4 linked regions of the Ovis aries genome follow. The protein of the gene in region 2 interacts with the protein of the main gene of each other region in a pairwise test. Links are inferred from orthologs where the notes say so. Each region holds a gene or a part of one and is shown on either strand. Other genes may lie near its edges.

Evidence for each region.
Region 1: the proteins of KRT15 (region 2) and TXLNB interact in binary tests that used the Homo sapiens proteins (3 or more experiments, as listed by UniProt). The two-hybrid records come from large-scale screens. The link is inferred for Ovis aries from reciprocal best matches to the Homo sapiens genes KRT15 and TXLNB.
Region 3: the proteins of KRT15 (region 2) and KIAA1217 interact in binary tests that used the Homo sapiens proteins (3 or more experiments, as listed by UniProt). The two-hybrid records come from large-scale screens. The link is inferred for Ovis aries from reciprocal best matches to the Homo sapiens genes KRT15 and KIAA1217.
Region 4: the proteins of KRT15 (region 2) and RAD51D interact in binary tests that used the Homo sapiens proteins (3 or more experiments, as listed by UniProt). The two-hybrid records come from large-scale screens. The link is inferred for Ovis aries from reciprocal best matches to the Homo sapiens genes KRT15 and RAD51D.

The regions. Positions count from the first base shown.
Region 1 is NC_056061.1:64,247,329-64,251,609, reverse strand, and holds the start of TXLNB (beta-taxilin), read left to right. Parts: upstream 1-1,481; 5' UTR 1,482-1,607; intron 1,608-4,224; 5' UTR 4,225-4,238; coding exon 4,239-4,281. UniProt on the Homo sapiens protein: Promotes motor nerve regeneration. May be involved in intracellular vesicle traffic.
Region 2 is NC_056064.1:41,464,258-41,468,458, reverse strand, and holds the start of KRT15 (keratin, type I cytoskeletal 15), read left to right. Parts: upstream 1-1,401; 5' UTR 1,402-1,486; coding exon 1,487-1,978; intron 1,979-2,769; coding exon 2,770-2,852; intron 2,853-2,935; coding exon 2,936-3,092; intron 3,093-3,568; coding exon 3,569-3,730; intron 3,731-3,815; coding exon 3,816-3,941; intron 3,942-4,139; coding exon 4,140-4,201.
Region 3 is NC_056066.1:24,438,339-24,442,598, forward strand, and holds the start of KIAA1217 (sickle tail protein homolog), read left to right. Parts: upstream 1-1,460; 5' UTR 1,461-1,517; coding exon 1,518-1,587; intron 1,588-4,260. UniProt on the Homo sapiens protein: Required for normal development of intervertebral disks.
Region 4 is NC_056064.1:14,695,704-14,699,683, reverse strand, and holds the start of RAD51D (DNA repair protein RAD51 homolog 4), read right to left. Parts: upstream 2,801-3,980; 5' UTR 2,610-2,800; coding exon 2,528-2,609; intron 2,263-2,527; coding exon 2,201-2,262; intron 2,011-2,200; coding exon 1,892-2,010; intron 1-1,891. UniProt on the Homo sapiens protein: Involved in the homologous recombination repair (HRR) pathway of double-stranded DNA breaks arising during DNA replication or induced by DNA-damaging agents. Bind to single-stranded DNA (ssDNA) and has DNA-dependent ATPase activity.

The DNA.
Region 1 (4,281 bases), on a different chromosome or scaffold from region 2:
AGTACTTTTTTCCTCTCACTCATTTTAATTCATCAATTTTATTATCAAATGATACAGTAAACAGCATCATTGTCTTCCTCTCTGGGATTTCTTTATCCTGACCCCCACTTACTAGGTACCCATCTATACCTAATCTATGCCTCCCCTGAACTCAGAGAAAGGGGTGAGAAAGTTTGGGAGTAGGATATTTTAGTCTCCTTTTGCCGCCATAAACAAGTTACCACAAACCTAGTGGCTTATAAACAACACAAATTTCTTCTTTTATAGTTCTGAAGGTCAGAAATCCAAAATGAGTTTCACTGGGCTGAAGCCAGGTGTCAGCAGAATTGCATCCCTTCTGCAGGACTGTGAAAAGAATCTGCTTCCTTGTCTTTCCCAGCCTCTCAAGACTCCTCACATTCCTTGGCTTGTGTCCCTCCATCACTCTGACCTCTGCTTAGATCACCAAGTCTACTTTTCTGACCTGACCCTCTTTCATTTTTAAGGACCCTTGTGATTACATGGGAACCATCCAGTAATTGTGGATAAACTATCTCAAGATCCTTAAGTGGATCACATCTGCAAAGTCTTCTTCACCACGTAAAGCAGCATATTCACATGTTCCTGAGATTAGGGTGTGGAAGCCTTTCTGGCGGCAAGATCCTGCCTAACACAGTGGGTATCAGTATGCCAGCCAGTCTCAAGAGGAGAAGCTCTGATGGAGGAATCCGATTTGGAAAAGTATGGGAACACATTCTCCAGAAACAGGAGAAAAGGGGCACGAACGTAGGTTAAGAAAAAGAACCGTTATATGGTCAATGAAGAGGAAGTTCTTTTTCTGAGGATTAAGGAACAGGTTCAGGATTTGAGAAGGGAGGAAAGACTTGGAAAATCTGCAACTAAAGAAGAAAAAGCAACTGCTTCCCTGGGGCTTATTTGAATAAAGGCAGTTACCTGAGTAAGACACGAGGTCGGAGGTCACACCAATTAGCATGTACATGAAGATGGCACTAAACCCACTGCCAAAAGAGCCATCTAAATTTATATTCAAATTTTACAATGAAACCAAGGAATGACATCAGAATTAAAGTGCTTCTCCTACCTCTTTCTGATATGCCATTGTTCCTCTTTTTCCTTGATTCCTAGTAGAAACTTGACACTAATTAAGCTAGCATATGGGGGGGTGGGGAGGGAGATGAATCACAGGCCACACTGGAAATAAACCAAGAAATAAGAAAACTTGATCTCTGCCCCAAAGAACAACCATAGTGAAAAACTGCACTAGCAAGGGGCATGTGTACAGAGAGTTTAAACTTTTTAAAGGACAATACTAGGAGTCTGCTAAGATCTATCAGCCGCTTCTTTTTCCTAGGACATTTGCCCAGGAGACAGCTACTGAAGCCTCGTGTATTTCTCTCTTGCTGTGTCACAGGATGTTCTTTCTCCCCCATCCCCCCGCCACCCCTGCTCTGCTCTCCCGCTGCATGCGTGTGTACGTGTGCGTTTGGTTTCTCTCTCCCCTGTAAGAGCGCAGCTGCCCGCCAGTCTCCTGCTGCTGCTGCTGCTCTGACTAGCTTTTGCTGCCTCTTGCCTCTCCTTTCTCTTTCTGCTTAGCACCTTGCATTCTGGTAAGTATGACAAACACTCCCCCAGCCCTGTGAGATGTAGGGTGCGGTTTGTGGTGTTCGAAACTTGCAACTTTGAGACTGCCAGTGAACTGCTGAAGAACTTTCCATTGTTTTATTTATAAGTAAAATGTGTTGCTCAGGAAGGGATGTGTGTGTGAGTGTGGTCATCTAATGGGACTGCCAGGACAAGTGAAAAATAAAATTCTCTCTCAGAGGAGGCAAAAGATGGGCAATAAAGTTTGTAGAAGATAAAACTTAGAAATAAGTTCTTGCTGTAAAACTAACTGATAAAGAAAGAGACAATTTACAAATAACAAGAGTTTTTTATTTTTTTTCGTTTTTGTCCTCTTGGGGACTTATTGAGGCTACTTTTAGGAACTGAGTTGTCCTGTGGTTTACAATGACTCAGTTATTGTGTTTTAAAGTAAATGTGGAGCATGAGTTTAAAGGAGATCATGCACTTAATATAAAAAAATCAATGATTATGGCCTCTGATGAATGAAGAATAAATCAAATACAAGCAAAACATTTGTATTCAAACTAACCACACTAAAACTCCTATGGACAGCTGGTTTTAAACTCATTGCTTTGAAGTCTGGTTTACTTTAGAGTTTATTTCATCCTCAGAAGGCCCCCTAACACTTTAAAACTCACATACAGGTTTAAACCAATCAATGTTTACTGTTTTCAATTTGATTTAAAAGGTATTCTCTTCCTTTTAGTTCTAAAGATGAGGTGTTAAAGGCCAGGGCTTCTTTTAGAAGAGCTTAAAATAACTACTGGCTGGACAGCAGGTGCCATGGATCTTTCTCCAAGTTCAGGGGAGGCATAAGTTATATATAGATGAGTGCACCCAACAAGCAGGGGTCAGGATAAAGAATTCCAGTGACGAAGACAATGAAGCTGTTTACTGCATCATTTGATAAGAAAGATGGTAAATTAAAATAAATGAGAGAAAACAGTTCTTCCTTCAAAGTTAGTGAGTACTTGGTGAGGGCCGCAGGTGGGTGGTAATGTCTGGACACTGAATTTTCTGTTCTTGTTGCATTCGAACATTTGACTTCACCTGTCCTGAGAAGGGGAGGAGGAAGCTGTATAGTGCATGGAGCAGTGTGTTTTTTTCACTTTCATGCCAACACAACAGCAAAACCTGTGGATTATTAGGACCCTGTCATAATTTCATGCTGCCAATTAGCAGCACCACCATTAATTATTATTCACAAGTAAAATGTACCATAACTTAAAGGCAGAAGCCAAACATATTGCAGCTCTAGAAATGGTGATAGCCAGCCACCCTAGAAAGCCTGATTCAGCCCATCCCTCACTCCCTATTTCCAAAGGGATTACTTGGGATTATTACATTATACATGGATTATTCCCCTGGTTCATTCCCTCCCTGCTTTTAAGACATTTCTACTTCTTAAAAATTATTGTTATCCTAGAGCTTCTTGACTGAGATGAGAAAGTCATACTATATTGGGGTGTTTTTTACCCCTAAAAGAAAGTCTGTTTTTATATTGGAACAAAAGACAGAAAGACAGAATGTTTGCTCAGTTGCATCTGACTCTTTGTAATCCCATGGACTGTAGCCTGCCAGGCTTCTCAGTCCATGGGATGGTAGATTCTTTACCAACTGAGCCACCAGGGAAGCCCTCATTGGAACAAAATGATATAGAAATTCAAGGAATTGTCATTATATCACCATGTTTCCATACACGTTCACATCTTTCCTCATGTAGTCTTATTTCAAAATTGATGCTGGTTTGAACCTCAAAAAAGTGTTTTTTTCTGATTAATTAGTACATGTCGCTCATCTGGGAAAAGGAAAATACCAGAAAAGCAAGTGTTTCCTGTATCCAGTATAATAATTGATCTATATTAATGGGCTCATGGGTTTCCCTGGTAGCTCAGATGGTAAAGAATCTGCCCCCAGTGCGGCTGGGTTCAATACCTGGGTCTAAAAGATCCCCGGAGAAGGAAATGGCAACCCACTCCAGTATTTTTGCCTGGAGAATTCCATGGACAGAGGAGCCTGGTGGGCTACAGTCCATTGGACTACAAAGAGTCAGACACGACTGAGTGACTAACACACAATGGGCTCATACTAATTAATATGCACTAAAATAGAGTTTAGACTGTTACTGTTATGAGTGATTTTAGTAAGGTCAGTGGCTCTTATACTCAATGTTTTAACTTTAGGAGAAAAGTATCAATTTAAATTTAGACATTAAATGTAGATTAAACATTAAATTAATGTATTTCTAATTACTGTAAATCTATGTAGAATTATAGATGAGAATGATAACACAAATTGGCTATTCTAAGCAAAATGACAGATATGACCATGAAAAATAATACCTTGAATTAATCTGTTAATGTCAATAACAGGAGATACTATTGGAAATTAAAGACCAAAATCAAACATATGCTAAAAGTATGACTTAATTTGGAAATGCTTCTCACAGTTTCTACCCAACTAATTGCAATATCAATGCTTTGTGGAAGTACATTCATTCTGTGTTAGAAACTGTAATCAGTAGGTACCAGTGTGGGGATAGCCTTACCATATGCCTGTAACTGGGTTAACTACATCAACCCTGGCTGTGCTTACCAACAGATACCACTCCCAGTATGGAGAGCAATCAGCCTGGGCAGCTGTCGGGGGAACCACCAT
Region 2 (4,201 bases):
CAAGGTTCCCAAGCAGTGACGGATAGAGCTGGGCTTGAACCTGGCTTTGAGGGGTTCCAGAGCGCTGTCTGCTTCACGATGCCGCAGCTCTGGGCCAGGAAATCTCCTCCTGGTGCTCCAGCTTGATCTGGCCCTCCAGCTTGATCTGGCCCACTTCCCCACCCCTGGCTATCTCTAAACCCCAGAGCCAAGGCCAGAGGGCCCGGCCACGCTTCCAGTGGCACTGCCCACAGGTCTCTGTGCACACAAGGCCCCCGAGCTGGTGGCAGACCAGAGGGCTCTCCTGAGCGCTGGACTCCCCTTTCCGGCTTCCGCAGCTTGCTCTTTGAGGTGGTGCTTTGACCTTCTAGATCTCAGAGGGGCCTTCCAGTCCGTGTGCCAGGCTTCCCCATCCCCGCCCTCCTGGCAGTGCTCAGGCACGTACGGCCCTCTGGGTTGAGCCCCTCCCCAGCCCCGCAGCGCTTCACAGGACAAATGGTTAATCTGGGCCCGCTGTGCAGCAACATGCCTCTCGCTGGTGAAGGCAGGGGCTTTCTGGAACTTGCTCCCATCTTATCTACAGAGGTTTGCCCCAACTCGTCCCAGGAGCAAGTAAAGGTTCAGTGACATGTAGTTGGCAGGTGGTGGGATTATCAATCAGCCCCTTGTCAGCCCTGAGCTGGCTGGCTTTTGTGGGAATGCCAGGGCAGTGGGACAGGGGGCCGGGGGGAGCTGGAGAAGTAGGAGGGGTCTGTAGATGGGGGAGGAGAGGAGGTGAAGGGTGGAGGAGAAGAGTCCATTTGTAGGGTCAGGGAAGTGACAGATGCTGGCCCCCTCTGGTCACCTCAGCTGGTACCAGACTCAGGCTCCCTCTCCCGTCCTCAGTTTATGCCCATGGCCCCTACCTTCTTCCATGCACCTTGCCCACCAATCCCCAGAGCCTGGCAGGCTTAGACACAGGATCTGTGAAAGGGACCACATGCAGCAGCCCTGCGAAGTGAACTCCCAAACTGCGAGCCAGGAGCCAGCTGCCTGGGGGTGAGGGTCCCGGGCTGGAAGCAGCAGGGAAGTCCAGGTGAGGGAGGAGTTGGCCTGAGCCACTAACAGGGCAGGCGGAGGCCTGGCAGACGTGATGCAAGGTTCCTACCTTCCGTGTTTTCTCTTGGAGTGTAGAGATGAACCTGTAATCCAAGTGTTAAAATCATGGCCTGGGGCAAAACACCATTCTGAATCATCTCCTTTGTTGCATTTAAAAGAAAAAAAAAAGGAAGGAAAGAAAAACCCCACACCAGCCACGCTGAGGTGTGTAGGCAGCTGTGTTTGTCAGGAACGCAGAAGGAGTTGGCTCCCCTTTGGGGGAGGAGACGCAATCCCACACCCCCTCGGGAGGGATATATAAGGAGCCCCGGGGCTGGGGGTGGCAGGCGCAGCCCTCAGGTTTCAGCCCAGCCCGCGCCTCCTGCCAGCTTCTCTCGTGCTGCTGAGAGCTCAGCACTGCTGCTTGCCCATGGCCACCACGCTTTTGCAGACTTCTTCCTCCACGTTTGGGGGTAGCTCTACACGAGGGGGTTCCCTTCTGGCTGGGGGCGGAGGCTTTGGTGGGGGGAGTCTCTATGGGGGTGGTGGGAGCCGCACTATCTCAGCGTCTTCTGCCAGGTTTGTCTCCTCGGGGTCAGCAGGGGGCTATGGGGGTGGCTTTGGTGGAGGGGCCGGTAGTGGTTATGGGGGTGGCTTCGGAGGTGGCTTTGGTGGGGGTTTTGGCAGTGGCTTTGGTGACTTCGGTGGTGGAGATGGCGGCCTCCTCTCCGGCAACGAGAAGATCACCATGCAGAATCTCAATGACCGCTTGGCCTCCTACCTGGAGAAGGTGCGCGCCCTGGAGGAGGCCAACGCCGACCTGGAGGTGAAGATCCGAGACTGGTACCAGAGACAGAGCCCGACCAGCCCGGAGCGTGACTACAGCCCCTACTTCAAGACCACTGATGAACTCCGCGACAAGGTAAGGCCTCTGGTTTTAGGGAGAGGGGAGCAGGTAGCTGGTACCAGCTGCCCCGGGGGAAATCCTTTTCTGCCCAGGCAATGATGTGTAACCTTGGCAAGTGGGGGAATGCATTCCAGATGTGGATGGGGGCACACTTTGCTCAGCCTGGCAGTGCTGGGGATCCTGTGAATCTGGTCTGGACCAGTAGGGGCCGAGATGAGAGCAGTGCTCACACCTGTGGGGCTCTGTCTAGAGCGTTCCTTTGCTTCTTTTGCAAGAATAAGGGTGCAGAGATGAAACTCTGGTCCTAGGAGTCCTGAACGCCAGGACCGCTTGCCTCACCCTCTGAATGTCTTGGGTGGCAAAAGCCTTAGGAGACCTGGGACTGCGCATGGACTCTGCCAGCTCTTCACTCACCCTTCACTCACTTGCACCAGTTTCCGCAGCTGCCCTCCAGGTTCCCACTGACTGGAATGTTCTATAGATGCAAGGCTGTGTTAAGGTGTGCAGGAGGCCAGCGACCATGAGTTGTCCACACGGGAGGCTGGTGGAGCACCCCAAGAGGTCACCCTGCTCCTGGCCAGGCAGTTCCCACGGGGCATTCCCTGCCACCCTCCTTGGTCTTTCCTGTCTCAGAGACCAGGAGGGTGGCATGGGATGGCTGGATTCTGTCTGGGGACCCTACAGCCTACTGTTGCTGGTATCCAAGGGAAGATGGTCAGTGAGGGGTCCCATGTGAGGTGCACGGCAGGGGGAGCAGCAGGGAAGAGGGAGGGGCCCTCTTGACACCAGCTCCCTTTATCCTGCAGATCCTGGCGGCTGCCATCGACAACTCTCGGGTCATTCTGGAGATTGACAATGCCAGGCTGGCTGCGGACGACTTCAGACTCAAGTACGCTCCTTCCGCATTGTCCCCCAGCTCAAGTGGTCCAGACCCCTTAACCCTCCTTACTTGGGTTTCCTCTTCCTTTCCAGGTATGAGAATGAGATGGCCCTGCGCCAGAGCGTGGAGGCTGACATCAACGGCCTGCGCAGGGTGCTGGACGAGCTGACCCTGACCAAGACCGACCTGGAGATGCAGATCGAGAGCCTGAACGAGGAGCTGGCCTACCTGAAGAAGAACCACGAGGAGGTGAGGATCAGGCAGCGGGTGGGGCTGGTGGGAGGCAAAGTGGGGCCACTGGGGACTCTTCTTAGTTGGCTGAAGGGCTGAGTGGTTTTGATATGCACCCGCCAACACAGAGGTCCCCATGGAGGGAAGGATCACTGGTGACCCAGACTCCTTATCTTCTCTGATACATCGCCAGGCCAGGTGGCCGGTGGGTGCTTCTGTCCTGATCTGTTTCATGAGCTCATAGAAGGGCCCTACTGTCTGAGGTCCTCCCTTGGCAGGACCAGAGACTAGAGAGGAGGAGAGACCCTCAGAGCTGAGAGGCCTGTGCGATCAAACCTTTTCATGTGGCATGGGCCAGGGTGGGTGTGGGGCAGAACTGAGGTCATGTGGTGCATTAGTGATTAGTGCTGGAGCCAGGATTGGCACGTGGGACCCCAGACTTAGCTCTGGCTACCGCCCTCTGTCTCTGAATGCCTACCCTCCCTCCCCTGAAGGAGATGAAGGAGTTCAGCAACCAGCTGGCTGGCCAGGTCAACGTGGAGATGGATGCAGCACCAGGCGTGGACCTGACCCGCGTGCTGTCAGAAATGAGGGAGCAGTACGAGGCCATGGCGGAGAAGAACCGCCGGGATGCCGAGGCCTGGTTCTTTAGCAAGGTGGGTCTGACTGGTGGGCCTCTCCTCAGCTTCCTGAGCCCCTGGGAGGCCCATGGAGCTCACTTCTCTTGTGTGTGACCTATAGACGGAGGAGCTGAATAAGGAGGTGGCCTCCAACACAGAGATGATCCAGACCAGCAAGTCGGAGATCACAGACCTGAGACGCACGATACAGGGGCTGGAGATCGAGCTGCAGTCCCAGCTCAGCATGGTCTGGCTCCCTGCTATGCCCCTCTTCCTCCTGCCAAGCCTCCCCCTCCCCACCTCTGCCATCCTTCATGGCTGCTTTAAGCATTGGTGTTCCCAAGCTCCCTCCGGGGGAGGTTCCATGCATTCCATTTGGCCTGTCTCCCCAAGCCCTCGATGGCTGGCTAGCCTGATGCAGTGTCTCTGGTCTGCTGCCCACTAGAAAGCCGGGCTGGAGAGCACGCTGGCAGAGACGGAGTGCCGCTATGCCGCACAGCTGCAGCA
Region 3 (4,260 bases), on a different chromosome or scaffold from region 2:
CAACTGCCTGCCTTCAGTGCTACTGGGCTTGGCTTTAACTTTCTGGAAGATCCACCACATCTTCTCGGGTTTCAAGAAAAATCCTTTTAGGAGTTGAGGGGGTCTCTTCTTCCCTTCCTGATGTGATGACCTTGCACGATGACCTGATGTGACTTCCTGGCATGATGACCTTGTCCTTCATAGGCTTCCAAATCTTTTTTCTCTGAAATGGCCAAAATATGTCCCCCACACTGCCAAAGTACACAGGTGACTCAAGGTCAGAATCTGGAGGGTAGGCCAGTCATTGTTCTGCACACAATCTTCATCTAAATTAATGTAAAACCTTGTCTGAATGGTATGTAAACTGGGTTGAGTTATCGTCAGCAGGCTAACCATCCTCCTTCCCCCCACCAAACGATGGGGCTCCTACAGATTAAAAGATCACCCTCTTTCTAGGCAGTGTGTGATTTGCCTATATCTGAAATAGCAGCATGTACATTGCACAGATTATGTACCTTGTTTTTTTTTTTTTTAATTTTTTTTTAATTTTTGTGGACGCTGTGCCTCCTCTTTTCACTTTCTGGGAAATCGGCCAGTGTTTCAAGGACCCTGTAAAGAACAAAATAAATGTTTGTAGGTAGTTTCAAGGGAAAATGAGTATGCTGGATGCAACTCTGCCCATCCAAAGAAAAGTATTTGAAGTGCCTTTCTGATATTTTAATGAACTGGAGAGATTCAGAAGGTGGATTTTACTAGTTTACTTTTCAGATTTTGATCAACATGTGAGTGTGTTTATGTATGTTGGGGAGGAGGAACTGTTGAGAAAGTGTAGGCAAAGGAGTGCAAACTTCGCAAAGTCCAGCTGAAGAGACTGAAATTGATTGTGTGCAAAGTCAGCTGTATCTGTCTGTTAATCAAGCTCTAAACGCTTGGTGAAGAAAGTGTGTAAGAACCTTCAGCATATAACCTGTCCTCGTTGCCCTTTATAAAAGGGATTTCACTGAAATTTGGGACGTTCCGCAGTCGGCTGTTCCTTTTTTCAGGATATCAGCCTATTGGGGAGGCTGATTCTGTGAGATGAAAGAGACGGAGAACCGGCTTCCAGCAAAGGCTCCCGCCGGCGATCCTGGGCCATGTTTTCCTTCCCCGGCTGCGGAGTCGCCGCAGTTTGCCTCGGGGGGCCCGCGTGGGTCCAGGGCAGGACAGCGCATCACCTGTTGGGGCCTCGGGGAAGCGCGCGGCGCGGGGGCGGGCGGGGGGCCCAGCCCGCATTCCTCAGGGACCCGGCGGGCGGACAGACGGACGGACCAGGGGACGCGCGCGCGCGGAGGGACGCGGGAGGCCGGGCGCTGGAATGCAGTCTTCCCCGGCGAGAGAGACTTTGCACGGGAGTGGAGAGTAGTTTGGGGTGGGGTTTCGCACCGTCCCCTCCTCCCCACCCCCCGGGCCCCCTTCCAGGCGCTTTCTGGAAGCGTTTTTTCAGAACGGCGCCCTGAAGTTTAAAGACCAGAGAGGAGCCTGGGCCGGAGGCAGGGACAATGGAAGAAAACGAAAGCCAGAAATGTGAGCCATGCCTTCCTTACTCAGCAGACAGCAGACAGATGCCGGGTAAGTAAGAGGCTCTCATTCAAAGATGGAGTTACGGTTCCGCGTGTGCCTCGCGGCTGGCTGCTGCTTTTTATAACTGCAGACCGAGCGCCTGGCACAGAAAAGGCGTATTTCTTGGGGTGGTGCGTTTTCCCAACTCAGTGGAGAGCTGTAGGCTGGACTTTTTTTTTTTTTTTTAAATCTCTGGCAGGATTTTCTTAAGCTGCCAAAGAAGTGGCGGGGTGGTGTTACACTGGTAGCCCTGTAAGCCGTCAATACTTGCTAGATCTCCAGGCAGTGGCAAATACATCCCCAAAGCAGCTTTCCATACTCCCTGCTCCAGCCGCGGGAGAGAGCAGCTCTTTCTGGAAAGGTCTCTCGGGACGGCAACACTTCCATTCATTGGTTGGGGGGATTCCACGAGGCACAGGCACGTCGGAGGCAAGTTTGGTCGTATTTGAGAGTTAAATCGCAGAGTTTTCTTTTTTTTTTCCTTTTTCTTTTTTTTTCCGGATCGGAACAGCAGGGGAGCACTTGTCCATGTAGAGGAGAGATGGAGCTGTGCGAATTTTCTGTATGCTTGAATTCAAAAGTTGGGAGCTGTTAAGACAGTTCTGATAGATTTTCTCTGAGCAGTTTCTCTTTGATTGTGTTTATAATAGACTTGTCTTTTCCGTAGGGAACTTCCAGAAGCTTATGTCGTTCCAAAGAAATTATGCAGTGTGGTTGGGTGGGGAAAGGGCTCCTCGGCTGGGCCGTCCAGTGTCTGACGTCTGTGACTCCGGAGCCTACCTTGCATGCACTATCGCGAAGGCGGCGGGTTTGGACCCGGCGCAGTCCAGAACCCTCCCTGCCCCCACTTTAGCCCAGGTTCATCCAGGGGCCAGTTAATAGCCCTGCTTGCGGGGCTGCAGTGCTGTGCGTGGGAGTAACAACAATGCACAGGGGAAAAGGTGTGTGTTTTTTAAAAGGCAAAAGGGAAGTCACACATGACTCATCCACACTGAAAATGCAAAACTAAGCCAGACAGAAGAAAATACAATTAGAAGAGATAGAAATTCCCCCCGGTGAAAAGCAGGAAACTTTAAGACCAGTGAACCCTGGAGAATCCCAGACTCAGAGTCCTCCGCTTGCTGGCTGTGTTTGTGCTGTCAAAGCACCACACTCTCCTTGGGGGCCCCCGGGCAGTGGGGCCCCCTCCCCTGCCCTCTTTGATAGACAGGGTCCTGCAGCAGGAATTCAACCTCTGGGCTTCTGCTGCATTACGAAATACTCGGAATCTGCAGGCGCAACAAGAGAGTGGAACTGATTTAAGAAAACAATTTACAAACAACCACAGCAGTTCAGAGACACTTCAGAGACTGAGATGGTGAGACTGATGCAATGTGATCACTTTATTTCATTTATTCACTAAATATCAAGCCTCTGTTCTGTGGGAGTCACTGTTTTAGCTTCTGGGGATCCAGCAGTGAACAAAATAGATGAAAAGCCCTTGCTTTATATTCTAAGGGCCAAGTTTGGGGGAAGGGGAGTGGAGGACAAAAACAATAAATGTAAAATAGCATGTTATATGGTGGGGTTGCCGTATTTGTCAAACAAAAATAAAAGGCTCATTTAAATTTGAATTTCAGGTAAAAAATAAACTTTTTTTTTAGTATAAGTGTATCCCATGCAATATTTGGGATACACTTATGCTAAAAATTATTCGTTGTTTATCTGAAATTCAAATTTAACTGGGCATCTTATATTTTATCTAGTAAGTTTATTAAACTGTGGGGGAAAATAAGGCAGAGAAAGAAAATATTGAGTATGGGGGTGGTCAGGGGTGAAACTGTAGTAGGGTTATTAGAGATGGCCTCACTACTATGTTGGAGGAGGTAGTGGCAACCCACTCTGGGGTTCTTGCCTGGAGAATCCCCATGGACAGAGGAGCCTGGCGGGCCACAGTCCATGGGGTCTCAAAGAGTCGGACACAACTGAGCGACTCAGCACTGCTGTGATACTTGAAGGGACATCAGAAAGAAGTGAGGGAGAGAAGAAAAAGGGCATCTTCAAAGAACAACATGGGGAAAGGATAGATAGAAAAGAGGTTAAGAGAGAATTCTAGGCCCTGTCGGGTAGGGCCTCTGATAGTAGAGTAAGGACGTCGGCTTTTATTTCAAGGGAGGTGGGAGCTGCTGGTGGGTCTGAGAGGTTTCTTCAGAGGTAGTCCTGGGTGCTCTACTGAGAATCACCCGAGTGGGGTTGGGGGCAGAGCAGAGAGCTCAGTTAGGAAGCTTTCAAAGTAAACCAGTCACTAGCTTGGATCAGCAGGTAGGGGAGTAGAACAGGTGGTCGTAAGAAGACAGACTTTAGATATGTATTGAGGATGAAACTGAATTTGCCAAGGGATTGGATACAGGATATAAGAGAGACAGCGGAGTCAGAGATGACTTCAGAAACTTTGGCCTGTGCTTCTGGGAAGTTGTCATTTACCTGAAGGGGAAAGTATTGGAGAGGAGTAGCGGAGAGGGTGTTTGTGGCTTGGAAGTGGAGAGCAGAAAATCTTTTGGCTATGGTAGGATCTGGAAGCTTATCAGGCATCCAAGTGGAGATGTTGATTGCAATTTGGATGTTTGTAGCTGGAATTTAGAAGAGGGGACCCAGGATTGTTAGAAATGGTCCAGGATTGAGTCTGTGTGCAGAAGGAGGCTA
Region 4 (3,980 bases), about 27 Mb from region 2:
CGCTCAGTCGTGTCCGCCTCTTTGTGACCCCCATGGACTGCAGCCCACCGGGCTCCTCTGTCCATGGGATTTTCCAGGCAAGAATACTGGAGTGGGTTGCCATCTTCTTCTCCAGGAGCTCTTCCTGACCCAGGGATTGAACCTGCATCTCCTGTGTCTCTTTACCCACTGAGCCATCAGGGAAGTAGATGGATAAATGAAGAGAAGATAAATGAAATAATGTACCTAGAGTAACAGTGCCTGCTTCCTGATGAGCACTCAGAGAAGGCCCATCCATTCCTCGCTGCACAGAGCGGTCCTGAACCTCTCTGATCTCCTCTGCAGTGACCTATGGTGGCTGCCATCCTGCCAGTTTACCACCTGACCACTCTCTCTGTATACGCTGGCTTTATAAACTCCCAAAGGCCAGGCCTGCTTCCTGCTAATCACCCCCTCCTTAGCTGCTGGCACACATGCTCACACCTCTCTCGTGTCCACCTGCTCTTCTCTACCCAGTGGACCCCAGGCTCCTTAAATGCAGGGGCCTCACCCATGCCCATCTCCGGTACCCATGCTTGACACTGGCTACTGCCTGATGAACGACAGGCCTGAACCCTCAACCCAGGGAAAGCAAGCACTGGGTTGTGTGAACCCTGCCAAGACAGCGTGTTTTGGAAACAGCGAGGGCCAAGCCGATCCAAAGACCTTTGTGGTGGCAGAGTTCTTTATCAAATTCCGCACAAACAGGCCAGGGAAGAGGTCAGCCTCCCTTGGCCAGAAGCCGCCTGTTTTCTTCCAACTCTTTCTCTCTCCAAACACTGCAGAAGGAAACTACTCTCACCCCTTTCTGCTGCAGCGTACAAGGAGTGAACCAAGTTCAGGAACAAGTACCCCAGGGCTGGAGCCCCACCACTGCCCCTAGTTCCTCTTGTGCTAAACTCAAGTGGGGTTAATAATCACCAACTCACAGGATCACGAAGAGATTATACAACCTATTGTATAACCTTGCTGTTGTTCAGTTGTCCAGTTGTGTCCAACTCTTTGCGACCCCATGGACTGCAGCATGCCAGGCCTTCCTGTCCTTCATCGTCTCCGGAAGTTTGCCCAAGTTCATGTTCATTCCATTGGTGATGTCATCCCAGCATCTCATCCTCTGATGCCCTCTTTTCCTTCTGCCCTCAACCTTTCCCAGAATCAGGGACTTTTCCAATGAGTCAAGTGTTTGCATCAGATGACCAAAATACAGGACTTTCAGCTTCAGCATCGGTCCCTCCAATGAGTATTCAGGGTTAATTTCCCTTAAGATTGACTGGTTTGATCTCCTTGCTGTCCAAGGGACTTTCAGGAGTCTTCTCCAAGCACCACAGTTTGAAGGCATCAGTTCTTCAGTGTTCCACTGTATAATCTACTACAAGTCAATGGCTGGTACTTAACCTAGTCCTGCCACACTCTCTTGCCCCATCCATCCTTAAGTGGACAGGGAGGTAGGGCCAGAGAAGAGTTGCTCTGATTTGCTGAATAATAATGAAATACTGACATCTTGTGTTTCAGTGGTTCTCAACCAGTGTAGATTTTGCCCCCAACCCACCCAGGGATCACAGCTGGAGATATTTTTGACTATCAGACAAGGGGAGAAGGGAGGTGCTACTGGCATCTAGCAGGCAGAGGCCAGGGAAGCTGCCAAATGACCTACTAAACACGCAGGACAGGTTCCCCCTACCCCAATAATTCTGCATCCCCCAAAGTTACGAGTTATGAGAAACGTTCTTACAGGGTAAGAGAACTTAGAAGTCCTGACCATCCTCAGCACTGTCTGAAAGGGCCTGCTGGCTCCAGACTCCAGCATCGAAAGCCCAGCAAGAGGAAGTCAGGTCGCCCTGCTTCTGACTGTCCCGCACGTACACACACAAACCTTCCAATGCCGGTGGACAGGATGGCCGTGGTGGTTTTCAGTTCCTCGTAGAGATCAGCGCCATTGAAAGGGAAAGCTGAGAACTGAGCCAGCAGCACTCGCCTCAAGGCGACCAGGGCCTGCGGAAGGGGCGGGGCAGCTCAGGATCCGGGCTGCAGCAGCCCCAAAGAGTTCTTAGGCAACGACCCGTCAAAGGAAGGGGCCGCCCAGGGTCTCAAACGCCGCCGTTATCAATCCTTAGGAACCCCTCTGCTCGGGGATGGGCATTTAGAGACACCCAGGTGTGGAGCGTGGAGATGATCAGCTCACCTTGTAAGACAGGCCACATTTCTGGGCGACCTCCTCCAGGTCTGCAGAAACCAGCTCCACCACTGAAAACGAAACACGTGGGGTTGATGGGCAGGGAGGGAGGCCCGGGGCGTCCGCACTCGACTTTCCCGCGCCCGCGCGTACTGGCGGAACCGTGGGACCCGGCGCGGTGGCGGGCACACGGTGGGGGGTTCTACCCTCCCAGGGGCGTGGCTCGCCCCCGCCCGCGTTTCCGGGCTCCCCGGGGGCGCAGGAGGGAGGAGAAGGGCCCCTCCGGGTGTGCCGGGGCCAGCCCTGTGGCTCGCAATGGCGCGCGCCCGCGGTCACCTGTCTTGATCCCGCCGCTTTTCAAGAGCTGGACCATGTCCTGGGTGAGGCCCGGGCACAGTCCCGCCCGGAGCACGCCCATGTTCCCTGGGGGCCTAGGGCCGCTCGTCCTAGGGGCATCCGTGGGGCCCTCTCCAGTCGTCCCCACCCCGCCCCCGGCGCCCCTTTCTGGACGGGCGAGGAATGCGGGAGGCAGCGACCGCGCGGAGAAGGCGGACCCTTCGGGAGCTCGGGCACCCAGGGCCAGCCCGCCCCGGCCACGCCGCCGCTTCCGGCTTCCAGGCGCCAGGACCCGGCCTGCGGCGCCACCTGCCGGCCGCGGCGCGGACGCGCGGGCCGGGCGGTCGGGGCGGAGACAGCTCGGGCTGCGCGAAGCCGGGCTCCCAGCGCAGAGGTCGACGCGCCCGGCTCGGAGGGTCGCGGCCCGCGTGCGCCTCCGCCTTCTCCTGGGCCACGCCCCCCGGTGCAGCTTTCGGTTCTGAACGCTGGGCCAGGACGTTCTATCGGATCGACCATCCCTACGCCCAGGGACCTACCTGTTAGCGAAAGAAGGCAGTAAAGAGCAAATCAAATAAATCAGATAATTACCGAGATTATGATGGCTGCTAAAACGCAGGAGAGCACAGAGAGGGTATCTGCTTCTCTAGTTTCCAAACAAAAGAATTTTTACGTATACAACGATAAAACCCCTGAGTGTATAGAAAACACACACACATACGAATTTTAAATGTCCTTGGCTGGACCTCATCCTCTGGAAGAAACAACTTTACAAGGTTGGCTCCGCACAGTCTAGTGAGGTGGTGGTGGTGGTGGTTTAGTCGCTAAGTCGGGTCTGACTCTTGCGACCCCATGAACTGGCGAGCCGGCCAGGCTCTTCTGTCCATGGGATTCTCCAGGCAAGAATACTGGAGTGGGTTGCCGTTTCCTTCTCCATCTAGTGAGGTAGGTGCTATGTTTATCCCTGTTTTACAGATGAGCAAAATGAGGCTCGGAGGTGAAGTCATTTGTCAAAGGCTTCACAGCCTAGGAAGCTGTGGGCAGAGCTGGACTGAAGAGCTCACGAATCCCCACCCAGGTGCAAAGCCATTGCTGTTTTAACAGCTGCCGGGTTCCTCACCCCACAAAGTTATGTGTATGTTTTCCTCCCCGTGACATGGTTTCCCTGAGAACAGAAACAACCTCTGGCCGATTTCTGTATGCCTCTGCACCACCCACTGTGGTCACTCAGTACCTGAAGACACTTGAAGTGGAGGTCAGACAATTTAGAATTCCAGCAGTAAAACCTGGGTGTGTGGGCGCTCTAAACCCCATGAGCCATCCCAGCTTTCCCGGTGCCCACACAGCTGGACACGGGGTTTGCTGCCTCCGATGTCTGGATATGAAGTCTCAGAATTCTATCGTCAAGGTGTCCCACTCCCAGGGACCCAGTCCGTCCAGTACTGCCTGCCTCCCT